Linked DNA regions of Saccharomyces cerevisiae S288C. The protein of the gene in region 2 interacts with the protein of the main gene of each other region in a biochemical or structural test. Each region holds a gene or a part of one and is shown on either strand. Other genes may lie near its edges. The genes, in order: DNA2, RFA2, HFM1 and RFA1.

Region 1 (6,977 bases), on a different chromosome or scaffold from region 2:
CTTGATTGGCAGCGATGCTGAATCTAACAACAAAATTGCTGCAGAGTACGAGCGTATCGTACCTCAAGTGCTTGATTTGGTACTGTTGGGCTGTGGTCCTGATGGACACACTTGTTCCTTATTCCCTGGAGAAACACATAGGTACTTGCTGAACGAAACAACCAAAAGAGTTGCTTGGTGCCACGATTCTCCCAAGCCTCCAAGTGACAGAATCACCTTCACTCTGCCTGTGTTGAAAGACGCCAAAGCCCTGTGTTTTGTGGCTGAGGGCAGTTCCAAACAAAATATAATGCATGAGATCTTTGACTTGAAAAACGATCAATTGCCAACCGCATTGGTTAACAAATTATTTGGTGAAAAAACATCCTGGTTCGTTAATGAGGAAGCTTTTGGAAAAGTTCAAACGAAAACTTTTTAGAAAAGACACACATGCGAGCTTTCGAACCTCAGATGCTAATATTACGTGTTATATATACCAAACTTTATAAAATGACATAGATATTTTATGCTGTGATAGCTTTCCTGTTATGGAGAAGCTCTTCTTATTCCCCCTGTCAACTTTCATACTCTTGTAGAATTTCCTTTATGATAGGTTTATCGCTTACGAATTTAGACTTTGATGTGATGGGTTTGGCACCTGTTCTTTTTCCACAACCTTTGCGTGCCTCATCAATAGCGTTTGATCTGTCGGGAAATTTGTATTTGTAGAGTGCATCCTTGCACATTGTATAGACCCAATTACGCTCTTCTAACAGGTTCACGAACGATTTTATTTCAGGAACAGAGCCGATTGTACTTTTTGAACCTATAATGATCAGCTTGGATTTGGCCCTTGTCATGGCAACATTGACTCTTCTTAGCTCTTTCAGCAGCGCTCCTCCATTTAATTGAGAATTTCTTCTAACCATGGAAATAATAATGCACTTTTTGTCACGACCTTGAAACTGATCAGCAGTCAAGATCTCTAGCCCGTCATACACATTTTTGTTGAATATCTTCTTCAGTAATCTTAACTGTGCTCTGTATAACGTCATTACACCAATATCTTCGCATGGTACGCCGCTCAATAACATTCCTTCCACACATTGTAGAGTCAATTCTGCCTCCCCGTGATTCGTAATGTTATCCTTTTCGCTTTGTTCGATAATATCCGGGCAGTTATCGTAATTTAAAAATACCACTTTTCTTGTAGGCTCTAGTATATCCTCAAGCCACTGCTTAGAGTTAGCCGATTCATTCCTATAGCGCGACAAGGCCTCAGGCATTGGTAACTCTAAAGATTGAGCAAAAACTTCGTTATTCCCGCATTTTAATTTATTATCATAAATTAGGAAATTAGACAAAGTTACAATATCGCCGCACATACGGTACTGTAAAGTCAGTTCTGCAACGCTTTCCGGATGCTTTTCACAGAAAGTCTTGAACAGTGACTCTTCTAACCCACCTAATCGAGCTGCGTCATTTTTAACTAATGGCGGTAGCTGGTAATGATCTCCTACCATAATAAACCTATTTCCATACCGCAGAGGTCCCAAAGCGACAGGCATTGAAATTTGACTTGCCTCGTCCAAAATCACATAATCAAAATCCTTTTCATTTAGTGTAAATAGTATATCGTTAATTCCTAAGCAGGTGGTAGCAACAACAGAGGTGCTGTTAATTTTGGACAAATAATCGTTATAACTTTTCACTGACGCGTAATTCGGGACATATTTTTGCGTGTCAGGATGGACCTTATGTTTCATTCCCAATCTCATTATGCTAATGTTGGTGTTCCTCAATTTTATTAAAATATTATCCACTGCTGAATGTGTGTATGATGTCAAAAGCACGCGTTTCCCCTCGGAAACGAGAATTTTAATAATTTCTGCGATAACAGTAGTCTTACCAGTCCCTGGCATTCCCAATATCAATGCATAATCTTCGGCCCTCATTACTTTGTCTATTGCTTCTTTTTGATTCAAGTTCAATGTTGTATCCTTTGAAAGCTTATACGGAATGACGGGATCATCATTTGCATCTCTAAACTTAGGTGCTCTATTATCAACTAAAAGTGATCGCAGTATTTCATTACCTCCATCAGATCTCTTTGTCTTCCGACATAATTTACTCCTTTCGTCAACAATATCCACGCCAGGTGAAACAGCTGGTAAAAACAAGCTTAAAAGATTAAATCGCGCTAAAGACAAACTCTGTTGGATATCATTTTTGTCGATTCTATATGTGACCAAATTTTGGGTAGCTATGAGACTGGATTGTTCTAGCTCTGATTCGACCACACTTTGGATGGTAGTGACTCCTTTTTCCTTATCTAGAAGCCTATTGTTTAATAACTTTCGTTTTACGGAGATACCAATTTTAGCGGGATTTATAAATTGTACACGACCTTGGCACAAGCAAAAATGACCCTCCTCATCACTAATAATAACAAAGTCATTAGCAGCAATTTGAGATGATAACATCGACTGCGAGTTATTATCATTTCTACGTCTTGAGAAGCAATATATATACGCTCCCTCTGTTTTTTCATGTTCAACCACCTCTGACACAACCAAGCCAGAAAGGCACCTTCCACTTCTGGATTCTCTTGTGGAACCATCCAATAAGAAAAGTTCTTTATTTACACATGTTATACTTGACTCCTCCTTAGTTATTAGATCATTATATTTTGTAAAAAACTCTTTGTAGTTGGCGAGATTTTGCGACAAATGGTTTGTCAAAATTTCAAACTCACCTTCTACCAGGCCACTTTCTTCTGGTGTCCCGTCCTCTAGTAGCTTATTCAACACCATGCATGATTCTTTGATGAAACATGAATCACAAGATGAATCGCGCAGTAAGGGTGGTAATTCAAACCTTGATTGAGCCTGTCCGAAAACCTCTTGGAGTTGATGCTTAAAATTCATACTCATTCTATTTCGGGACATGAGAATATGTTTAATGGAGTGCAGAACAGAAGGGAACTTTGTCATATTTTTATCCCTCGTAAAATAAAGAAGAAAAAACTCTATCGGTATCTCATAGCGATCATTTAACAGAAGTGTATAAATAAGGCCTTGAACCTCGTATGAAACGCTTCTGGATTTTCCAGTTTTCACTTCTAAAGGAACGATGTGTTTTTTATTGTTTTCAACATTAGCTTCAACAGTTGCATCTAGGAACCCTTTAAGACCATATATTGGAGACCAAATGTTTTCTTCAATATCAATCACATTGGATATAGAAATTGGCTGTGTTCTTCTTGTTCCGGAAATTGATGTGTAGCAACCATAGTTACTTTTCGAAACAAATTTATTGACGAAGTACAAAATGTTTTCAGCATGTTCTTTCATAACTAATTCTTTAACGTACTGGATTTCTTCATTACAAATGATAATTGAAAAAGAATAAGTTTCTAACAAAGAATCCAGCTTTTGTATTATGATTTCCATAGAAATTTTATTATGCGAGAGCTTGTATTTGATTGAGTCTTGCAATAACTCGTGTACGATATTGCCTAAAGTCATGACAAGGCTTGGTTCTCCGCGGGGATCTTGAAATTGCATTTGCAGAATTGAACGTCTTAAACAACCTACTGAACTTCCGACTGATGTTGCCGAAAATAATACATCAGGGTTTAGCACCAACAGGTTGTCGTTAGCCAGTTGAGTTTTAGGGTTTTTGTCGTCAGAAAGAAGCCGTTTGTTTTCAATATTTTTCCCTTCTATAATATGTATTACATCCCCAACCTCAAATTCCAAATATACCCAAGGATGTCGAACGACAACAGAACTTTGTTCGCCTTTGCCGTCTATACACTCTAGTATTTTTTGCGTTCCAATTTTTGGCAATTCAACACTACGTAAGCTTACTATTACTAATCGTACTACGCCGTCTCTTGGAGCACCAGACTTAGCTCTGAGAGCATATGCGGATAAAGTGGAATCAGTAGCAATTCTCAAATCGTCAGAGACCATTTTCTCCACTTTGTCTAAATCTTGTTCAATAGTGTTAGGTTCCACTTGTGTTTGAGTTTCGTTCAATAGTTCAATTAGTGAATCGTCTGAAAATTCGTCTGAAGAATTGTATTCTATTTTTTCATTTTTTTTAATTCTTTGGCAATTACTGTCTTCTTCATTCTCATAAAATGCATTGCCTGTTTTGGCTTGATTGTCTACATTTTCATGATCTTCAATTTCTCCTCTCGATTTTGTGTTATCATTCTTCCCACAACTTTCCTGGGCTCCACTTTTTTGATTGGTGTTGCCTTGAATTGTTATCTGACTCTCACTCTTGCGTTTCTCAACATACTTTTGAGTTAAAATATCTATCAAAGAGTCATCGCCATCGTTGCTATCTCCTGTTGAATCCATTTTATCTACTTCTTCTGCATTCACCTCTGCTTTTTTTTCAACGTTGGGTGCCTTGATGGGTGAAGATGGCAAATCGCTGAATTTCGTTATCGTCGGTTTTATAGTTAAATCGCCCTCTATATCATCGAGAATATCATCTATATTACGGAGAGACTCCCTGGTAGATATTTCTGCTGGTTTAGGACGCACTTGCTCATTTCCATTTTCTTGAATGAGTTGATTTACGTCAGCGTTGGGTACTTGGATATTTGTGAAACTAAGAACAGTTTTCAGTCGATTAGGGACTATAGGTGTAGAAGAGGGATTTTGGACATCTTCGTAGTCATCAGAGTATTCGGCAGCGCTTGTTGTTTTGTCGGACATATCTCGTTGTAAAGGTGAATATTTCCATATTACTTCTTCCATGGGGCCGTCCTCGTCTTGAGTGAAATCGTGATGCCTACTCAAATTAGACATTTCCCGTTTCGGTTTAACTTGTGAATTTGGTAATTGCTTTACGCTCTTGCTAACTGCTTTGTTTATATCTTTTGTTCTTGATGTATTTCGTACTTGTGAAACGGCTATTGACTTTAGGACACTTGCATTGGATACCTTGGTGTTCTTCCCATTTAAGTTATTTATAGGAGCAAAAGCATACTTTTTTTTCCTCTTAGTTTGCTTAGATAATATCGCCTTTGAATCATTTTGTATTATTTCTTTTTCCTCTGTCTTCTTCGCAGGTGAAACAGATATACTCGCAGACCTCTTGTTCTTCTGTGGCGTTCCGGGCATCCTGACGATCTCTTCAATTGTCAGTGTTTGCTTGCACAAAATGAGTACTCACTTGAGTATGTTTTCTCCCAATTTTGTTTTGAGGCTGCCGTAATGATTGTAACTTTATCTTCAAAAATGTAACACAAGTTTTGCCATAAATAGCGTAAGATCAGTTAAATATATATAAGTTCTTTCTGCCGCACGGAATTGCTTTATTGCGCGAAATGAAAACAAGAATATCCAATTTCTATATGAAGGACATAATGGAATGGGAGTGACAACGGACCATTTTCTGTCCGAACGATGTCTATCTCCTTTGGTTACTTTTTGAAATAGAATCACAGTCAATGACCAATTTTCACATACTTATAGCTTTTCATAGTGCGGAAAGCGTAGCTTTGAAGTAGTTCCGAAATTATAATACATCATCGTGTGGTAGGTAGCAACTACGACGGGCATAAAAAATGCGTTGAATATTATACATACAAACTTATACTTACATATATATCTATGAAATAACAGATTCCAGTTTATTGGGGAATATATTCAGCTAAATACATCGATTTGTTCGGCCTCTAACTCTTCGTCCCCCGCCAATTCGCTAAACTGTAAAAAGTGTACTGGACGATGCATCTCATTATAGAATTCCAAAGGAATGCCGTATTTAAAATTGTAGTCACCTTCTTGGTTAAATGCTGTTCCCATAAATGTGTAGTTCCAAACGTTTCCAGATGGAATTATAAAATTACCTGTGATACGGTCAGAGAGAAGTAATTGGGCATGCGTGCTGAAAGTAGGCTCAAACCCTTCCGATAGCACGTTCATTATATCCTTATTTTCTTCACCCCATTGGTAACCTTCGTCGGTCAGGTTATAAGCGCTTAATGATACTGATCCCGGGGTGGAAAAAATTGAAATATCAATGCAGTCTCTTTTCTTATCCGCAAAAAGTTTAGAATGAGTTGCTACTTCAGACGCAGCCATGAATTTAAGTTCTTCTGTCTGGGTATGGATCCAACCGAGTAGTTCAAGGCCTTCAGTATCCGGAAGGTCTCCGATGTCAGGGATGTTGCTTATCTGAACGGATCCTACGTGGCCTAATTGAGGTACCAGCACAACAGTCTTGATTTCTTTCACCTTCGGATGATCTTTTGCTGACATACCATAAATAAAGGCCGCCACCTGGATTTTCACATCGGATATCTCAATAAACTTCTTTAATAAATTTTTTGGAAGGACGTAAACATTCTGTTCCTCCACGAAATCATCAGCCGAAACATAAATGTTTTTTAACCTCAAATATAATAGTGTATTAGCAATTGCAGATTTTCTCCATTCATTCTTTGAACTAAACGTTTGACTTTCGTAATCAGCGGAAGCTACTACAACTATCTCCTCACCTTGCGCATTGATAGTTTTAGTTTTCATAACAGTTGATGCACCTGCAGCTTCTTCGTCGTTCTGCTTTTCTGACCTGGCAGCTTCTAATTCAGCCATTTTTTGTCTCTTCACAGATGGTGCCTTGATATTTTGACCCAATATAATATCTTTAATTTCCGTTTGAGTTAAGGCAGATATATTGACATTGTATTTTCTGCCGTACTCAGTCAAAATCAAATCTCTCATTTGAGATTCGATAGTGATCCATTGTTCATCAGTGAATGAAGGCCATAAATGGTACGATTTGATAGTGATCGTGGGGTCACTGAGTAGAATCATTTTGGCACTTTCCTCGTTCGTCTTTAAAGCTCTTAAAAGTAGTGTAAGTCTAGAAAATGCAGTGTACGATGAAATACGGTCTAACCAATCATCATAAATGTTAAACAGAACCATCTGAGGTTCAGTAGCTTTCATCACAACATCAGAAAGTTT
Region 2 (3,067 bases):
ACCAATTTTTGTCACCGTTTTGATATAATATTCTAGAAAGCAAAGCAGTAAGTTCTTCTTCCACAAGAGGATCCTTGGCCGGAGTTGTGTTCTTTATGGTGTAAAGACGTAACAGCAACTGGATGTTGTCGTAATCAGATAGGGTAGGTTGATCGTTAGGGTTCAAATCCAGCAACAACTTTGGAATATTTTCTTGACGTAGTGCCAATGGCAATAGTTTATCTTCTTCATAACCTTCATTTAGGTCTACCTTTTGTCTTTTACTATAAATTTGCTCGTCTAGAGGTTCATCAGCAATGGACTCAAAATGAGGCTTCTCCAATAATAGATCGGACTCTAAAGCAAATGTTTCTGGTGTAGCAGATGTCGTTCTCAAAGCAAAATTTTGAAATGTGAAGGATTTGGCAAGAATGATCAAACCGGCATGAGCCTTTTGCTGATATTTAGTTCTAGTAGCGCGTGCACCCGTCATTACAAATTCAAAATTTGTTATCTTTTTCGCTCTGGTCAAGGATGGCAGGCACAAATGTTCTGTGTTGATGGCCAATGAACATTTGACATTCTCTAGATAGTACATTGCACAAAGTTCTCTTTTGAAATCTTCGTGAATACTCTCCGGTAATTCCTTAGTTATCGCATATGCAAGGTCAGCAGACTGATATATTGCAGATGCAACACTAGCTTGGAACCCAGAAGGTTCTGGAATCAGTGACAATTGCGTCAAAAGAGCTCTTGCCCACCACCAATAAGCTACAGCTAATAATCCAGGAGTAGACTCAGCAGAGATAATAGGTAGCGGAATTTCTTGATCCGGGGTAACATCAAATAAGCTTTTTTGGCCGGTTATCCTTTCAAGTAATAATAGTGATAAAACCAAATACAATGGATCATCCATAAATTCGTAGGCAGGCTGGCCCATAATGGCTAATGAGCGGGAAAGGGCTGTATTAACTGCTCCTATTTCAATTCCAGTTTTGCCAAACAAACCTGAGATTGCTTTCAACCTAGCTGCTGGGCCGGTGTAGTTATTTTGAATAAAGGTCTGTAAGAGGGCAATAGCCAAAAATAGCATCTCATTTTCTTGGCCCATTTTGAAAACCTCAACGTTAAGAAAGTCATTTAGAGCAGCAATAACACTAGATGTGGATATTTCTCCCGAAATACTAATTTTTCCCTTAAATTTGTCCACAAATTGCTGTACTAGCTGGTATGATTCACCACTGATGATATGTTCAGCCTTTTTCACATATGTCTGGTCGAAAGAACCACTTTTCAGAGATTCTACTTCTGCAGACAGCAATAATTTTGCATGCAATAACGTCTCCATAATTTTGCAACCACTAGTTTACTTTTTGCCTGGTCTGATAGCTTCTTTTTAGCAATTCCTTTGGCCTCGATGAGCTTCCATTTTCAATTTTCATCTTTTTTTTCACGATGCGAAGTTTCTTAGATAATTATCGCCATATACGAAACGCGTTAGGAAACGCGTTCTTTCCTTTATAATAAGCAATATTATATCAACTTAAGGTGGAAGTAATGTGGCAAAATCGATAGCGACTATCTAGAACAGGCTAGTTTAAGCATATACATAATGGCAAGTATGTATTAGTGCTAGGAATTGGAGGATTTGCTCTTTTCTGCATCATTTTTTTTATTTTTATTGGCGAATGTTAAAATTACTAACAATGGATGGGATTCCAATACAGCCTATCAACCATATAACGAATATTCATCAGTAACGGGCGGTGGCTTTGAGAACTCTGAGTCCCGCCCAGGTAGTGGGGAGTCGGAAACTAACACTAGAGTTAACACCTTGACACCTGTGACGATCAAACAAATTCTAGAGTCCAAACAGGATATTCAGGACGGCCCCTTCGTTTCGCATAACCAAGAACTTCATCACGTTTGTTTTGTAGGTGTGGTGAGAAACATTACAGACCATACTGCAAATATTTTTTTAACTATTGAGGATGGAACTGGTCAAATAGAAGTGAGAAAATGGAGCGAAGATGCAAATGACTTGGCTGCCGGTAACGATGACTCTTCTGGTAAAGGTTATGGTTCGCAAGTCGCCCAACAATTTGAAATTGGCGGTTACGTAAAAGTTTTTGGTGCTTTGAAAGAGTTTGGTGGTAAGAAAAATATACAGTATGCGGTGATTAAGCCCATAGATTCATTCAATGAAGTGTTGACGCATCACTTGGAAGTCATCAAATGTCATTCCATAGCCAGTGGAATGATGAAACAACCTTTGGAGAGTGCATCCAACAACAATGGGCAATCATTATTTGTCAAGGATGATAACGATACATCTTCCGGCTCCAGTCCGTTACAAAGAATTCTAGAATTTTGTAAGAAGCAATGTGAGGGCAAAGACGCTAATTCATTCGCTGTTCCCATTCCATTGATCTCGCAATCCTTGAATTTGGATGAAACTACCGTCAGAAACTGCTGTACGACCTTGACTGACCAGGGTTTTATCTACCCAACTTTTGATGACAATAACTTCTTTGCCCTATGAAAATATATAGATTATTTTTTTAGCATTTCTTAGTATTCGTTTGTGTATTTCTACTAGGTAAGTACCAAAATTTGCCGGAAATAGAGTGGAAAATGGAACCCGTTCCAAGAAGGGGTAAGATGCATGAATATTAAGTTGGTTGCATAAATATGCTATATAAAGTCCACTACAAAAAGTCATTTATTTTTGCCCGTAAGAATAAAGAACGAATCCGTCCTTATCTCTGACTTCAATGGGAACATTTACACGCAGTACGGGCTTCAATAATAGTTCCCAGTCGTATCTGGTTCTAGGTGTACATAATGAAAAATGTCTCAGCATTCTTATTTTGACAGCTTTGAATTTTGACAAATTTCTCAGGAAACACCAGAGGTTAATATTTGGAATATCTTTAAAATTCTCTGGATCTTGGAAATCATTGAAAAAATTTTCCAATGTCACATTTTGTAAGAACTCCTCCACATCTAAATCTCTATATTCGATGGTTCGGTTCTTCAATTTGATTAAACTATCTCTTAGGCAACGCCTTACAGAGTTGTTCCAATA
Region 3 (5,965 bases), on a different chromosome or scaffold from region 2:
ACCTATGTCGACGATTCCACACAAGTTTCTCGACACGACCTCAGTCTCGGTATCACTATCGCTAAGTGTTGACATTTGTGGCACGCCTACACTTTTCGTTCAAAACAATCCTTAGTAAAGGACACTTCCAAGAGTGAGTTTCTTTTTTAAAAGGTACATATGAATGAATTACTAATCTCACTTCGATTCTTTCAATTGATCTAGGAACTCCGCCGGCAAAGTTATCCTATCTCGGCATTCTGACCCGGATCGCTTATCGCGGTCATGTGACTAATAATTGAAATGATAAATAGCACGATATGTAACAATAGTAATATATCAATTGACAATGTCATCTTGTTCCCTAATAAATAGTAAAGGTTCCAATTGTTTCACCACTGGCTGCATTTTAAAAACAAAGCATTATAAGTAAACTCTCACACATGCTAACTTCTGTTGGGAAGCAATACAAATAACAGAAAGGATTGGGGTAATGAATATCAGTAATGTCTATTGTTCCCGGCCATGCCGCTCATTCAAACTCTATATCGGAACCCAAGAAATCCAGATCACCATTCGGATCACTTATTGAGCTCGCCGCTGTATTACTAGAATAACTATCGGATGATTCAAGATCAATAGGAATTATTTCAGGGCAGTTTTCGGGGCCTGATTTTAGGACTTGTTCACCCGCTTCCATAGACGACATCTGTTGCGATAGATTATAAATTTTTGAAGGAAGTGTATGAACTGTCGCAATATCTGTATTTTCTTCTTGCCACTGCTTTGGTTTACTATTCAGTCTTTTTTCCAGGTGAGGGGTTGTGTTGATATTTTTTGCAAGCAGTGGCTGGCGTATTTGATCAGGTTTTGATACTGGCTTGATTGAGGAGGGTCCTTTTTCTTTTATATACTTTACTGGAATACCCTCTTTACAACATAAATGTCTGCATTGCGTTTTGTCTTTGCAGCTATGAAAACACTCGTAATTGCCATTAGATCTTACTTGGCGGCCATTACTAAAATGTGAAGAAGAGTGTGCCTCCGGGTGAATAACTGCTGCAGATTCAACCGCCTTTGATGATTTCTTCCTTTCATTCAAATAATCTAGTATACTATCATCTGAGGATAGCGATTCTTCTAATCCATCTTTATGGGAAACCCTAGACGTTTTCCCCACTTCTCCGTCACTACTGCTTTCATAGAAGAGGCATTTTTCTAAACTATTTAGATCTTTCCTTATATTTGGTGTCTTCGCAGAGAACTGTGATGCCAAATGATCAGTGGAATATACGATTGTTTTGCCGAGTCCGGCGATTTCTTGGCAATGAATTGAGAATTCTATTTTTTCTAGTTTTGGTGATATTTTTGCTGAAATTCTAAAGCCCCTTGGTGACTGTAGTTTGTTAACTTGCAATCTTCTAAAGTCGATTAACTCTCCTGAGCTTTTCTCGGTTTCGATATCTAATGAGAGGTGCTGACCATGCCAAATGCTAGACTTGAATGTTGCACTAATCTCAACTTTAAATGTCAACCACAACTCTTCATTTTCTATTTTGCAATTTTCTAGTTTTGTTCTAATATTCAGACAAGGCAACAAAGAAATGTCGTTTTTAATTTTTATGCCGTTTCCAATCTTGAGGTTAAGATAGTATTCAATCTGAGTATCTGACAAATGCCCCATTTCTTCTAGATTGGTAATTCCATGTCGTATTAGCCTTCTTACTGAAACTAGTCCAATTGTTTTCAATTGCCTAAGAACCATTGGCGTGTTTTCCCAGCAGTGACCATTCAGGCTTCGCAGTAAGAACAAAGTATTTTTCAGTGATGTTCCATCACTTTTTTCAATAAATGTGTCTACCATGCATTTTAGTAATCTAAAACAATGTCTAAAAACGAGGAATTTATCCTGAACAAGAGTTTGATGTAGTTTAGAAGCGCCTTCGTATGATGGAAATTCTAACCCACCTAACTCATATTGAATCAAAAGAGAAACCTTTTGACTAACCCTGTCAATTATTTGGCTCTGTTTCTTCTCGGTTAAAAATGGATATTTCAAAAGTGGCGATAAATTGATTTCTTTGAACAATTTTTTTTCATTGTGCCTCACCCTCATAACTGAAAACTCTTCAGAAGTGGCCAGTAAATTTAGTATCCCTTGTAATGATAGAAATTTTTTTGCGTTAATGAATTGTTTCATCGACTCAAAGGATATATAATGTCGCGTCATTGCATTTCCGTACGCTGTAGATTTGTACTCCCCATTGCTGATATCGATTATTTTCACTTTTACTAAGGTGTCAAGCAAATACTGACAGAATTGATTTATCTGAGAGTCTTCAACGGAATGAAAACTAACGTATCTGTTCACCTCTTGATATGCAGCTGGATTCTTCCCAAATCTAACGTAAAAGAATGTGTTTCGTAGCCAATTTACTGCAGTTTCAATTGAATATACAGTTTCCAAAGAGGTTTCTGCTGCTAAATGCTCGATCAAATTCAAATGTAATGAACTTTCCAAAACGTCAGTTCCATGAATTAAGTTTTCATATGTTTGCTTCATTTTAGAGTCTGTCATGATTACTGCGCACCCGTGAGTTTCAAATTGAGGTCTTCCTGCCCGCCCAATCATTTGCAGTACATCTAGGTCTGAATACTCTTGGATTTCAGAAGAGTTCCAACTTTTGGTGCCTTTGATAATGACCAAATATGCGGGAAGGTTCACACCAACAGCTAACGTTGAAGTTGAACACAATATATTAATTGAACCTGCAAGAAATTCTTTCTCAACGGCAGTACGGTCTTCTAAAGAAATTCCAGCATGATGGAAAGCGATACCTTGTTGCATACATTCATTTAATATTTTATCGGAGGGATTATGATTACATCTTTTCTTACTTTTTGAAAAAATATGATTATTTAATAAAAATTTTGCTGTTGATATAGTTGAAGCCCTAGTCGGACAAAATATTAGTACGGGACGATTATCGGCATGCTTTTCAATTATTTCAATCAATTTGGAATTATATATAGCATCTTTTTGGAAGTCATTTTTGCAATTGAAGGAGTACCCATAAACAAACTTCGTTAACTGAACTTGCCTGTACGATTCGTCAAAAGAAAGAATATTTGCAGGAAGCTCGTTGTTAGTTTTGAGCCACAATGCTAGGTCTTCTATATTTGGAACTGTTGCACTTAAAGCAACAAACCGAATGTTTTGACACATTGTATTCATCCTTGTCAGAATTACTTCCAAAGATGCTCCTCTTTTCTCCTTTATGGTATGAATCTCATCAACTAGGACAAGTTTGACCAATTCGAATAATCGGCTGTAATCGGACCATCTTCTTGTTAACAAATCCCATTTTTCTGGTGTCGTAATTATTATGTTACATTTTTTAGCCTTTTCAGTTTCCAGAAAAGAGGTATCACTAGTAAGCATACCAACAGAAAGATTCACAAAGGAAGGAAACCAGTTCTTGTACATCTCGTAACATAGAGATTTGGTTGGCGCGATGTATATAATTTTGGTGTTATTGGTATCACTATTTGTTTCCTTTATAAGACGTAATATTGCCAATTCAAATAATACAGTCTTGCCTGATCCGGTTGGTGAAGAAATTATGCAGTTCTCGTTACTCTCATAAATACTAGGAAAAGCCTCTGATTGCATTTTATTAAATTCTGTAAATTTAAAAACCCCTCTGAATGAATCTGGTAATATGGTCGTGCTCAAACATTTCTTCGCTGATTTCCTTATCGTGACCTTCTTAGGTTTCTTCGCCTCTTCATCAGGTGTCTGCTCTAAATCGTGATCAAATAATTTACTAGTTACTTGTGTATCATCTGCTGTTATTGAAAAATTATCGTCTTTGTCGAAGAATTGCAGACCACGGCCCTCAAATATTTCCTCTGTTTCATTTTCATCATCACAATCATCCAGTAAACTGTTATAAGACAAACCTACTTTAAAACTTGGTTGGCGGCTATTTTTCTTATTTCTTTTAAATGTAGCAGACTGGTCGTTAAAGTCAATATCTATAAGTCCTCTGAAATTCTAGTCCAGAAAAACCACTTTTGGTTGCATTTCCGCTAGATAATAAAAGAAAGAGGTAACAATGTTAGTCAAAATACTGTTGTTGTCCGATATGGTGTAAACTGATAAGGGTGTTGCTAAGCTTCGTTACTACTATTTGGAGAGGGTCTACTTCTTTTTCCTGTACCGAGGCGATCAAACTTTGTTTTCATCCTTACGACGCCTCTTAAGTTGTCAAATCCACCTTGAGGTATCAATCATTTTCAATGAAAGGATTTCTTGATAGATGATACTAATAGTCCCGTTTTGTTTATAATCCGGGGCAAAGTCTAAATACCCGCCGAGCCTGCATCCATTCGTGGTACATGATATGTTAAAACTACAACAAGGCATAAAAAAGGGAAGTATATATGATTAATTATATATACGTAAAGGAAAAGATACGTAGTTAAAGATTGTTTTTGTTGGTATCAATGGAATCAAAGATGAGTGAAGAAGAAGCGCATAAAACAGTGGAGGTGGATGACGTCGGGGTTCAATTGGATGAGGGCGATGAAGAAGACCTTTTGGAGTATGATGATGAACTCGTGGAGGAACAACCATCGGACGCCCGTATACGCAACGTGGCAGAGACTTTAATGAAAAGCGAATTGCCCAAAGTCACCGTGGAATATAAAGATACTACATTTCTGTTGTTCACGTCGGATGATAAGAACGAAAGTAACAACCCCATAATATGTGAAAACGCTGCTCTTTATCAGCGACCCATGGGGGAATTCATGGAATCCATTCGTAAATTTATGGGAAATCGTTTTGGCAGGTTGGCTTTTGCTACGAAGGAGTTGGTTTTACAACTGAAAAGCCTCGATTTGACCTTGTTCGAAGATAATGTCTACAACAACCATATTTCATTCAGCGATGTTTATACTATATTTAAAATCCTGAAGGAAAGATCGGAGTCTAATTTTGAAACTGATATACCGACGCACTTGGCTATTGAATTAAGTACAAGGCCAAGATTTGTCTCTCGGTACAACGCCTTGGTTGAATTAACTGAAAGCTCAGCTACGTTGAAAAACATAAAGCCATTTTCTAACGATGAAACGCATCCCTTAATTGTGGATGACAATGACCAATATACACACCAGAATACTTCAGAAGTCATTGTAATGGACATAGATGATGACGTAGGTGAGGATTCTGAAGACTAAAGTAGCCATGTTTAATCAGCACTGATCGTGGGAAATCCTGATGTCCAACGGTGAGTTTCTGATTTCCCAGTCACGGATTCCTTTTGAGAATCTTCTCCCGCGAATAAATTATTGGCTCTGTGTAATATTTAAGGTCGCCTTCTTTTTCGTTTGTATAGTCAGCAGTTAAGTATTCATTAATTTTGGATGATGCAAAGGTCCATATTCGATTTCTGATAGCCCTTCCCCCTTTTTTGTAGCGAATTGTATTATTGTTTTGTATTGTTTTTTCGTCATTTTCTTCAATTTTTTTCAAGTTTTACTTTCGGAAGAATTGCTGAAAGTATTTTCTGTTAGGATATGTAAAATACAAGCATAAAATATGTTTCAGGAGAAGAAAATCACTCAATAGTGCCACACCATTGTTAACGAGCTCGAGTAATTGAATCAATTTAGAGAAATAGATCATATTACAAAAATACTATGATTATTGAACGTTGGGAAGTAAAGTTATCTAAATGTAACCAAAATGTGGGCGGCTATTCTGTTCTGTCAGGAAACTTAAAAGAAAACATCAAACTGGGAAGACGAGCACAAAAATATTTGAAAGAGCTAAGAAATTTGCAACTTAAACCACTGAAAATCGGAGGGTATGAAAACTGCGGCACGATCAATGGTGAAGAGTATTTTTTGGAGGTAATTCACATCACCTCTGGAAGACAAAAAATAGATGTAGCCGTTGGCAAAACATGGAATGTGA
Region 4 (4,202 bases), on a different chromosome or scaffold from region 2:
ATACGAGGATAATTAAGATGCAGTCATCATAGGTTTCTCTTCAAAAGGAGAAAGTTTAAATAGGCAACTGACACTGAAGAGGTATAGTCATGCCTACCGCGATTTCTTTGACACAGAATTGAAAAATTTTGCATTTTTTGGTAATTTCCTAATAATACGAAGTGCAATAATCTCACTTTGATAGGAGCACGTCATGATGGTAATTTCATACTACTGAACGTAAATGTTGAAGGTGAATTTGTAAAGCTTTGTTATTTGAAGCTGTACACCTAAAGGGCGGTAAATTGTTGGGTGTTAGTACCATGCCATTAATTAGAATTTGTTAGCATTTTTATTCATTTGTGCATTATGGGTTCAAATTCATATGACTGAACGTGTAGTTTCATATCCAGTCATCAAGAGATGCTGAACCGCCCTTCAAAAACTTGACGAAATAGAAGTTTTTTTTTTACATTTCTCATATGTTACATAGATTAAATAGTACTTGATTATTTGATACATTAAGCTAACAAAGCCTTGGATAACTCATCGGCAAGATAGTCGGCTTCAGCCCTGTAATTCAAGCTGTGTAGGTTAGCAACGGTATATCTAATTCTGCTTTGATCATTGTATGTATCCTCACGCGCTCTAATCCTAAAGTCATATTCGTTCATTTGGATACTTTGAGTAATTTTTGTGAATTCGTTGGGGTCTTCTTCCTTCAAAGACATTAATGTATTAGCATCAACACCCAATAATTGTTTAGCTTGGTCGTCAAATAAAGTGAGCCATAGTTGATTGGTTTCGTCAATAATTGATATTGTCAAGATGTATCTCCAATTTGGCCTTGCATTATTGGTGTCGCACTTCTCACATCTCCAAGTACCATCAGGCTGTTCCAGAACTTTCTTATTACAATTCTCATTAGAACAGGCAGGATATGCAAAATTATCAACTTTTAAGAAACTTATAGCAGCTTTAACACTAAAAAAGTCACCTTTCTCGCTTCTTCCTAGATTTTCAGCTTGAGCTCTAGCAATAGTAATACGCTGAGCAATGAATTTTGTTAAGCTAGCAGCCGATTGACCACCCATACCGGGTTCTTGCTTTAAAGTGATGAAGTTTGCGTTGCGGCCCTTGGAATCATACCAACCCTTTAAGGCATATGCCTCAGGAATTTCTGGATTCGGAATCAGGGTACTAGAAAATCCCATAGACAAAGATTTGCCACCAAAATCCGTCACACGAACACCTTTAATGGCAGCAACAGAACCTTCAGGAAGGTTGAAATCAAGGGCTTGCTGATTCCATAGGCCAACAGAGATAGAAAACCCAGAGTCGTCAACAATTGTGATGTCACGACGATCGAATTTCTTCCCAGCCCTTGAAGTTAGCTCAAAATGTGGGTTTATAGTTTGGATAATACCGAGGACGTCTACGTTGGAATTTACTTCCTGGTTCTGAATAGCATCTAGTTTGATGAAATTGAAATGGGTTTTCGGAACATTACTTTCATCGAAACATTCTTCTATAACAGTGTCTCTATCCAAATTCAGTTCATAAGGGTGTGTTAGATTAGTAAATTGGGGCTTAGCTGGTTGGAGTTTTGCCTTTGATACATAGTATACTTTGCCTTCTTGTAAAATTTCGTTAAATTTTGTAGCAAAATCATTAAACGCCGTGGCTCGGATTTCTCCAGAGGTATCCAAGAAGTTGACATTGAATAGTTTACCATCACCTCTTTGATTGTGCCACGTTTTAATTTCTCCCTTGTAGGAAACTCTTGCTTTGATAGTCCAAACGTTTTGGTATGGAGACAGTTGTTCGATGGCAAAAATTGGTCTGGTTTTTTGCGAATTAGGGTTTTCATTGGCGAATTTTCTCTCATTTGCATTCAAGTTTGAGTTTGAATGCAGCATATCAGGGACACCAGCATTGCTGGCGTTTGTTTGATTGGCAACATTACCACTGTCAGTTATATCTTCGTCTTTTAAGGTTTCATTTGGATGCTCTGAGAAATAGTTATCCAAAAAAGTACTAGTTTGGTTGACCATATCAGCACGCGACTGGACCAACTCAAAGTCATCTACTAAAAGAACGTATTTCTTTCTTTCCCTGACAATAGCAGGTTCTGCAATTATCACGCGAATGATATCACCCCTTTGTAGTTCCATTGACTGGAACTTGGATGCAGCTTGGTTTCTCAACAGAGCCTTCATATGGTAAATACCATCGGAAATCATGATCAAATTCTTTCTGTTGCTGTTAGCCCCATCAGATTTCCTGGTGTTATAAACTTGATAAACGCCACCGGTGGGATTATCGTACCTTTGCTTATTGGTGAAGATGCTATGAAAATCGCCCCTCGAAAGTTGAACACTGCTCATCTCTTGTAAGTATAATCTGGTCTTCTTGCTGGTTTCGCCTTTACCGTAATAAGAAGAGTGAATAGTTTTTGTTTTACGTGTAGAACTTAAAGTGATAACATTTGTTCAAGTAAACCTTTATGTTAGTTCACGCGTCTTTTGTCGCCTCGTCTAATTTTTACGCGTGACATTTTTCCAAGCAGAGATATTTTATTGAGCAGCGAAGAAGAGTTAGAGAATAAGAAAGTGATGCGATAAGAAATCCACCCAATTAGCATAGATCCTTTCGTATATGGCTGAAGAAGGTGGTACGCGCATAGCTATTAACATATATGCAAAAAGAACGGCAAAAGGCGAGGAGGTTTTTATGCCACCGCTAGTATTTGACATAGATCACATCAAACTTCTAAGGAAATGGGGTATTTGTGGTGTGTTATCTGGAACTTTGCCTACTGCAGCACAGCAAAATGTATTTTTGTCGGTACCTTTGAGGCTTATGTTAGAAGATGTGCTGTGGCTGCATTTGAACAATCTTGCCGATGTGAAATTAATAAGACAAGAGGGAGATGAGATTATGGAGGGAATAACATTAGAGCGGGGCGCCAAACTATCTAAAATTGTCAACGATCGTTTGAACAAGTCATTTGAATATCAGAGAAAGTTCAAAAAGGATGAACACATTGCAAAATTAAAGAAAATCGGTAGAATCAATGATAAAACCACAGCTGAAGAATTGCAACGGCTTGATAAATCTAGCAATAATGACCAGCTAATTGAATCTTCTTTGTTCATTGACATTGCTAATACCTCTATGATTTTAAGAGACATACGGAGTGATTCAGACAGCTTATCCCGCGATGATATCAGTGATTTGTTATTTAAGCAGTACAGACAGGCAGGAAAAATGCAGACCTATTTCTTATACAAGGCATTGAGAGATCAAGGGTACGTTTTGTCCCCAGGTGGACGTTTTGGTGGGAAGTTTATAGCATACCCTGGTGATCCTCTTCGTTTCCATTCACATCTGACGATACAAGATGCGATTGATTATCATAATGAGCCGATTGACCTAATATCCATGATAAGTGGTGCAAGACTAGGAACGACTGTGAAAAAACTTTGGGTCATAGGCGGTGTTGCGGAAGAGACAAAGGAAACTCATTTCTTCTCAATAGAATGGGCTGGATTTGGTTAAGCTGGGAATCAGTCATGTATAATTATTTTCTCAGAATTTATGTATTTATAAGGTTTTTCAGAAGCATACATATGTGTAATACAATTTTTAAATTTGCATTGATATTTTGATGCATTCAGCGGGAAAGTAGTTGTTTATCACTAGACATATAATTATGTTTATTTATATTTAGTGGGAGCAAAACAGTTTATTGAATGTTTACCAGAACCGAAAAAAAAGCTCTTCTAAACTGTTGACATCCAGTTCATTTACTTCCACGTGTAGATGTGAAGGAACAAATATTTTAGCATCGTTCATACAAGTAATTATGCTATATTATCGATCCTCGGATTTCAGCTTCCGTTATATCGGATGATTGTTACTCGACCTTTATGTCGTCTTTTTACATCATATATGATAATATGCTAGCAGTTTTAATACAAATTGATCGAAGATAGTTGGTTCTGAGAAATGGGTGAATGTTGAGATAATTGTTGGGATTCCATTGTTGATAAAGGCTATAATATTAGGTATACAGAATATACTAGAAGTTCTCCTCGAGGATATAGGAATCCTCAAAATGGAATCTATATTTCTACATACTAATATTACGATTATTCCTCATTCCGTTTTATATGTTTATATTCATTGATCCTATTACATTATCAATCCTTGCGTTTCAG

The links.
Region 1: the proteins of RFA2 (region 2) and DNA2 form a complex in vitro, tested with the Saccharomyces cerevisiae proteins (one study listed by BioGRID).
Region 3: the proteins of RFA2 (region 2) and HFM1 form a complex in vitro, tested with the Saccharomyces cerevisiae proteins (one study listed by BioGRID).
Region 4: the proteins of RFA2 (region 2) and RFA1 form a complex in vitro, tested with the Saccharomyces cerevisiae proteins (2 studies listed by BioGRID).

The regions. Positions count from the first base shown.
Region 1 is NC_001140.6:424,056-431,032, forward strand, and holds DNA2 (bifunctional ATP-dependent DNA helicase/ssDNA endodeoxyribonuclease DNA2), read right to left. Parts: upstream 5,124-6,977; coding exon 555-5,123; downstream 1-554. Other genes in the region: 6-phosphogluconolactonase SOL3, read left to right, coding at 1-418; U4/U6-U5 snRNP complex subunit PRP8, read right to left, coding at 5,652-6,977. UniProt on the Saccharomyces cerevisiae protein: Key enzyme involved in DNA replication and DNA repair.
Region 2 is NC_001146.8:46,696-49,762, forward strand, and holds RFA2 (Rfa2p), read left to right. Parts: upstream 1-1,591; coding exon 1,592-1,598; intron 1,599-1,706; coding exon 1,707-2,521; downstream 2,522-3,067. Other genes in the region: tetratricopeptide repeat-containing protein EMW1, read right to left, coding at 1-1,327; putative SCF ubiquitin ligase complex subunit SKP2, read right to left, coding at 2,702-3,067. UniProt on the Saccharomyces cerevisiae protein: Binds to single-stranded sequences participating in DNA replication in addition to those mediating transcriptional repression (URS1) and activation (CAR1). Stimulates the activity of a cognate strand exchange protein (SEP1).
Region 3 is NC_001139.9:27,410-33,374, forward strand, and holds HFM1 (DNA helicase), read right to left. Parts: upstream 4,228-5,965; coding exon 4,170-4,227; intron 4,018-4,169; coding exon 512-4,017; downstream 1-511. Other genes in the region: RTG2 (Rtg2p), read right to left, coding at 1-75; RMR1 (Rmr1p), read left to right, coding at 4,501-5,226; ZIP2 (Zip2p), read left to right, coding at 5,689-5,965. UniProt on the Saccharomyces cerevisiae protein: DNA-dependent ATPase and 3'-5' DNA helicase. Required in the control of double strand break transition and crossover during meiosis. ATPase is slightly better stimulated by single-stranded (ss) than double-stranded (ds)DNA.
Region 4 is NC_001133.9:156,254-160,455, forward strand, and holds RFA1 (replication factor A subunit protein RFA1), read right to left. Parts: upstream 2,367-4,202; coding exon 501-2,366; downstream 1-500. Other genes in the region: COMPASS subunit protein SWD1, read left to right, coding at 1-32; tRNA splicing endonuclease subunit SEN34, read left to right, coding at 2,713-3,540. UniProt on the Saccharomyces cerevisiae protein: As part of the replication protein A (RPA/RP-A), a single-stranded DNA-binding heterotrimeric complex, may play an essential role in DNA replication, recombination and repair.